Linked DNA regions of Mus musculus. The protein of the gene in region 1 purifies or fractionates together with the protein of each later gene. This does not show direct contact. Links are inferred from orthologs where the notes say so. Each region holds a gene or a part of one and is shown on either strand. Other genes may lie near its edges.

Region 1 (3,500 bases):
CCTCCTACACACTTACATGAAATGAAATCTAAATAACATAAAACACAACATTATTTTCAAACTTTCTCTGTGTTTCTCATGTCACAAAATTCATGTCTCTATTTTCTATAAATTATAAGCATCACTACAGAAATAAGGTAGAATGAGGTTTTTAAATATTTACTCCCATGTAAGCTTTACTAAGCATCCCATGTAAGAGTTATTAAGCATCTGTTAAGCAAATAATGTGTTACAACTTTTGGTAAGTACATTGCATATTAGTCATTGCCTACTAGAAAATATGGGCAAAAAAGGAGGAATTTTAGAATTTATAGGAACTGGAGTTTATTAGAAATATTCTTGTATGATGACTAAATTGTATTGAATTTTGAAGTATTATGGCCACTGTGTCATGATTGCATTTGACCTGTCTTTAACTGTCTCAAGGAAAATGATCTAAAAAGCATGAACACTGATGGATGTCAGTTTTCCTTTAGCACAAATCTAGTTAGGTTCCACAGAAACAACACAGCCATGTGTTCCTTCAAAGTCTTCATAATTGACCTCCATAATTCATAATCCACAATCATTCATAATTTCCAAATAGATCACCAAATCATACATAATACACAACTCTAATTATCTTTCCTTTCTTGTTTTCTTTCCTAATCCAATGAGCTCAGCTTTTACAGGTGATAATAACTCGTTAGATGCTTTGATTGTGGCCCACAAGTTGATGATCTCAATCACACAACAGCACTATAAAAGGGTGCATTTAACACTAAGCAATCTCACAGACAAAGACTTTCAGGAGCAGATATGCTAGTGATAAGAATGTTTGATACTGCAGGGAAAGCCTTGCTTCAGAAGTCGATTTCACAAAGCACACAGGCTATCTCAAAGGCTGAAATGCAGGGGACTGGAGTATTTGGTGATACTGTCAAGATCTACAAGAACCAAACATTTGAAAACATTATGCCATTGCTGAGATGTCTGCAATAATGACATTCATGGTTACACTCTCTCCTGCCCATATACTGCTCTTCCTCTACTTCCCTCCTTTTATAAATTGTTTTTACCATTAAATGGATACAATACATATATATCAGGGAAGCTGAGAAGGAACACTTCCTTCACCAAACAATGCATAAAGTGTGGTTCTGATTAGCCACAGACAGTGATGTCCTTATTCATGACTTTTTAGTGTCTACTAGATGTTAGTGACATCATTCAGGAAAATAAGGCACCATGTTTTGCATATGGTCACCTCAGAGCCATATCTGTCTTCTTAATGAATTCATGTGTAGGCTAAGGAGTTTCCATGTTATCTGCTGTGGTAGATACTCACATCAATGTTGTTCAGTGTGTTGAAGTACATCAAATCGTGAAGCCTTTTGAATGCTTGATTGGGATACTGAAAGTTGAAGGTTGAAAATGGCGATTCGGGGTCATCAAAAATGTCAAAGTCAGCAATTTCTTTCTCTTCTTTGGTTTCCCTTAGAACACCTATATGCCAAAAAGAATATGCATCTTGCTTTTGAAAACTTAAAAAAAAATTCTCCAAAACATACAAAACAAGCATAAGGACAGCACAGAGAATCACCAGAAAGCCTGTGATTCTAAAAAATTACTCCATTCCCTAGTCAGCCACACTCAAGTTGGGAAGATACCCAGCTTCCGTGCCTGCTAGCGTGGGTGGGAAGGATGACCCCATATCCTGGGTTCCTGCCTTATAGCCTTCCCCAGATGGGTCACGTTCCTCTCTGAGTAGCTGGCATACAAACATGTGCTATGTTGTCTGTCTCCCTGCCCAGTATCACTTCCTCACTCCCTTACAAATAAACCCTCTGCACTTGAAGCTTGTCCTGAGAATCTTCCTCCGGGGAAATCCAAACCAAAACATTGAACCCTACTCAACCATCAGAAGTCCCTATACTTACCAACCTCTTGGTTTCTCCCCAAGAACTACCAGTAATAGAATATTATCTAGGTTGCTTTCAGTTTAAAATCAGGGTTTCAATTTGAAACTACGGTTTCAGTTTGAAAACGAAAGATGCTAGCCAGCCTTCTTTCTCCAGGATGAGACTTGCCTCACAACTCCACTCTCACTTCTTCTTTATCCTTCTGAGAAATCTAGGGAAAAACTTCCCTATATCCCATTACCACCCAGAGTTTGTGTGTGGTGGGTGGGTGGTAATTTCTAATCACAAAATGGAAAACTGCATCTTCTGGTTTGAGAAATATTTAGCAATTAAAGCCTTAAGAACGCCATACCACCCTGAATGCACCGGATCTCATCTGATTTCAGAAGCTAAGCCAGGTTAGGCCTGGTTAGTACTTGGATGGGAGAATGCTTTTTTTTTTTTAATGAGAATCTTTTAGGATGCATTAGAGTCTACCTACTCCTTCAGATATGAGAAAACAGAGTAACCATTTCTTGAATTAGATCTCCTTTGCTGTAAAATATAATGTGACATCCCAAAATGATCAGTTATGCTGTGGGTTTTGTTTTTGTTTGTTTGGTTTTTTTTTTTAGAGAGTTTTGTGATCAATTAATACTCCCAAAGAATTTTCCATGATTTTGATTTTCATGATTTCACAAAGTTGAAAGTCAAACTATTTAAAACATCCTTTATGAATTGGACACCTACCAAACCCAAGATGCTGGTTCAATGCCCTAATCATCTTTAGCTAAGATTGTCATTCTTCTTTCAGTTTCTCTATTATAAGGAACATGAATCTTGGGGTAAAAAAAGAAGGAAGGGCTTTGGGCTCCCAAGTCACTGCTGTTTGTCATGGTAAGAGGCGCATTCCCCACAGTCACAGTTCATGTGACAATCTCAGTGTAATAGCAAACATCCTACCAGCCAGACTTCAATTTTACAGAAACATACCTGGGGCCTTGTACTTTCTGAAGTTGATGTTGGCCAGAACAAAGTGGATAATGGTTGGGCAATCCTTCTCCACATCAGGATTCTTAGGTTTAAAAACATAGCATTCCTTTAATCCTTCCCGATCAAACACATAAGGATCGATCTTTGGAAAGGGAAGCTTGTTCATTTTCGCCCACTTCTCTGCAAGCAGAAGTTCCTGCAGGGAAGAGAAAGATGCGTTGAGAAATGTCCAGTCTTCATTCATTCATCTGGTCTGTCCATTATTCTACATCCATTTTCTGCCAGCAGTTGCTAAGATAAAAAAGAAAAAAAAATCACTGTGTTCAAGGACTGTGCAAATTGCCAATATCTGTAAAAATGACTCTTTAAACAACCTCAGTACCATTACATCAGTTCTCAATATGGACTGGCTAAACAGCAGACATCTGACAAATGCATTAATGAACTGATTTGAATAAGAACTATTAAAAAGAATGAATTTATGAAATTCCTAGCCAAATGGATGGACCTGGAGGGCATCATCCTGAGTGAGGTAACACATTCACAAAGAAACTCACACAATATGTATTCACTGATAAGTGGATATTAGCCCCAAACCTAGGATACCCAAGATATAAGATATAATTT
Region 2 (3,500 bases), on another chromosome or scaffold:
TCCAGCAACTAACATGATCCCTTTATGGGTTAGAGCTGGAAAAAGAAGAAAATTCTTTTTGTTCAAAGGGATTTAAGAAGATTTGAGTAGAGGGGCGCTCTCCAAGAGAGCACATGCTTTGCCTGAATGGGGCCCTAGACTCAACCTGCACCTCACAGCCACACACAGGGAAGATTCAAGTTTTTCCCAGTGGCATATGACCAGAATGTGGAACTTCCGCCATGAAGATTATAGACCTAAGGTGCAGCATCCCTGGCTTATCACACACTCATGAAAAGCCTTTCCCCTCATGATGTGCCAATGGGTGTGGTATTTTCACCTGCAGATTGAGAGTTCTTTGAAGCCAGGGGTGGAATCTTTTCCACTTTGCTGCCCCTGTGATATATTAACACACAGTAGGTACTATCTACCAAGTAAATGGATGTGAAACACGCCCAAGTAGTGACCCTACAGGGAAGGGATAGAAGAAAGGGAAGGGCACTCTGATTTTTATATCTGGTTCTGAGACTTTCAGCACTTACTTCCAAAAACCCAGGGAACTCCCGTTCCATGAGCACTCTCAGGTCCTCCTTTGTCAAGTGGTCTTTGTCGCCTGCAAACCTGTGAAACGTAAGCATCATGGTTTCCATGGCGTGCTCCATTTGGGATGGCATTTTGAAGAGTCTGTCGAAACCTGTTAAAGGACATAAAGAGAGTTTGAACTAACTTTTAAACCACAGGTATGAAAATCTTTAGACAGTAATGGGAAAGGAGAAAGCAGAAGGTCTAATCACCTTTCCCATAAAATTTAATCAATCTAAGGCTCAGTTTGGGGGCTTTTGTTGGTAGCAACAGACACTTCAGGTATTGGATCTCAGAATGTGGGATTTACTCCTGTCAGCCACTCTATATGCTCCTAATCAAGAAAAAGAAGATCTAATTTTCTGGGAAAGTAGGACTAGAGATGCTCTTTTTAACTACAAAGTACCGAGTTAAAGAGATGTTTCCTTATTTCTCTTGGCACAGAACATGTAATTCTTTGAAATGGCTGAACACCAACAAGCCACAAGTCCAACTTGGTCACTATAGAAGCCTCAGCCACCCAGGCTTGAAGCAGGGACCTGGACCAGTCTGACTCTAGAGATTAGAAACTTGCTTATAGATGGGTTTGTCTGTGGGCTGTGTGCACTCTACAAACACTGAGCTCATGCTCTAGCAGTAAAACGCAGCCACTCTGTCTGAGTACACACTCCATAATGTTCATTATCAAGTTCAGCAGAGAAGGAACGAGTACCCATATATGTACAAACTCCTTCAGGAGCCAGATACACTTTTGGTATGACTACGCAGAAGCGTTTTCCTCACAAGCTGGGGTGCAATGAGAGACCAAGGGCCTTTCAGCATGAAGAGTTTAAAGAGAGGAAAGGAAATGTTAGGTCACTGTGTTTGGTACAATGAACTGGGGCAAATGTTTCGGCCAGACCCAGTGCCAAGAGGAGCTCAGTGTCCGTATAGAGTTTTGAGTGCAAATAGGAGAAGCTGGCAACTTCTCCTGCTGAAGACCAACAACAGGAACCTAGGGCATACTTTGGTCTGAATCCTGCTGCTGACAATGCCTGTTCAGATCCCTAAATTCTGTAACCCACCCCAACACACACGCACTGAACCCTACCTAGGGTCTAAGACAGGCTATCGCTGAACTATATATACACCCTGACCCTCTTTCACAGGTCTCACTAACTTGCCTAGACTGGCCTTAACTTGAGATCCTCCTGCCTCTGCCTGTTGAGTAGCTGAGTCTGAGCCATTAGGCCTGGCTTCTAAATACTATCTTTTACAGAGTCAAAGATGTGGCGCTGAACACTAAAAAATTGAAGAGTTATATTTAAGGGCTGTAATTCTACCTCTTTGCCTCAGAAAAATTATAAGAACCCGCTAAGGAATCCCACACCTGAGAACACCGTCAGTGAGGATCTGGCCTGATTCATCTGCATGATGTGGACAGCAGCAAGTTTATACTTCAAGGTGCACAATGGCATGAAATCCAGGGGAGCCCCTCCCCTTTTCCTATCTTATACTCCTTGGATCTGCCCCACCTCCCCAATCCTGGATATGGGTTTCTAATGGCATTGGCTGGCTCACAGAGAGTCTACCTTGCCTGGATTTATTTTAAAGCACAGAGTTTAAGAGAACTGAATTTCAGTCACCTAATGAAGGACATGGGATGCCACCTCAGTCCTTCAATCATTCAGGAAAGGAGCCAGATGCCAATGAAGTTTAAAGTCTGTGCCCACATCAGAGCCACAGAGCTTTCTGACCTCCTCTCAGAGCAAAGACTCCAGATTCCAGACATCCCAACTGTTAGAACCAGGTGGATATCCAGTGTATTTCCTCCCAGGCATCAGGAGAGTATACTGGAGAGTATACTGCAGAGCTAAAGAGGGTTTCCCCCTAAACAGGCCAATTTAGGACTCCTAGGAAATGCAAGCTGTAAGCAGAGGAAATCCTGGCCTCACTTGAATGTCCTCTTCAGGAGGGTGAAGTCAGGCTACCTTGCTGAGAGCTAAGGTCTGAGGTTAGTCCACTTCTTCCTGCCTTACCCAGAAGGCTATGAAGTGACAATGTTCCTCCCTGAAGCTTCACCTCTGCCCCAGGTCCTCCATCCCCAACTCCCCTGTTTTATTCCACACACAGAGCAGCCCACTGACTCCCTGCTAGTTCAAGATACTTGCAATAATAACACAGAGATAGAATCTGGCCAGAAAGTGAAAACAGAGTTGAAATTCACAGCATATGACCTTGATCCCAGAAGGCACTGACCAGGGCTATAAGAAAGGAGTTACTCTGGAGAAAGGTTTACAGTAATGCAAAAAATCCAGGTGTGGTAAGGGCAATCCCAAGAACTACGAACTGAGGACTCAGGAGTGAGATGGGGCTGAGACAGGAGAAATGGAGTTATCAGCCAGGCTGGGTTGTATAGACCCTTCGTCAAGAATCAAAACAACAAACAAACACGTGTAACAGAAATGTGAAAATGCTGTTCTCCTGGATAAACAAATGCATCATATTGTCCTTCTCTGGCAGAGTGGTCCTAACCAATCCCCCATTGCGTGCATTATAGGGGTCACTACGCTCTATAATCAGTTACTAGAATGAAAGCTTTTCAGGAACTTGAATCTGGCATCTCTACTCCACCTAACACCCCCCCAAACTTCACTCCAGATGGGGTGGGCCTTCCCCTTCTGATTGGGTAACACGTTATCATGAGGGCACTGGTCTGAGAGTTGGGGAAACCTACCTGATATATTTAGTCGGATACACCTGTTCACCTGTCTGCCTCGCCTCCAGAACTGTCTTAGTTAAGAACCACATATTATTCTGCTTTAGTTGAGACCACTAGATGACATTTGTTAAATGAATGACTCAAAGTAGAGGAGATACAGATGAAATTGTCTTTAGGCAGTTGACAGCTCAGAGCACAGCAGCTAAAGGATGAGTTCTGGGAAGGGGGGGGGGGGGTG

Evidence for each region. The genes of interacting proteins can lie anywhere in the genome.
Region 2: the proteins of Pla2g4a (region 1) and S100a10 purify together in Homo sapiens (affinity purification with western blotting; 3 studies listed by BioGRID). This does not show direct contact. The link is inferred for Mus musculus from reciprocal best matches to the Homo sapiens genes PLA2G4A and S100A10.

What each region holds. Positions count from the first base shown.
Region 1 is NC_000067.6:149,839,291-149,842,790, forward strand, and holds part of Pla2g4a (cytosolic phospholipase A2), read right to left. Parts: intron 3,070-3,500; coding exon 2,874-3,069; intron 1,486-2,873; coding exon 1,328-1,485; intron 1-1,327. UniProt on the Homo sapiens protein: Has primarily calcium-dependent phospholipase and lysophospholipase activities, with a major role in membrane lipid remodeling and biosynthesis of lipid mediators of the inflammatory response.
Region 2 is NC_000069.6:93,558,117-93,561,616, reverse strand, and holds part of S100a10 (protein S100-A10), read right to left. Parts: intron 674-3,500; 5' UTR 654-673; coding exon 522-653; intron 1-521. UniProt on the Homo sapiens protein: Because S100A10 induces the dimerization of ANXA2/p36, it may function as a regulator of protein phosphorylation in that the ANXA2 monomer is the preferred target (in vitro) of tyrosine-specific kinase.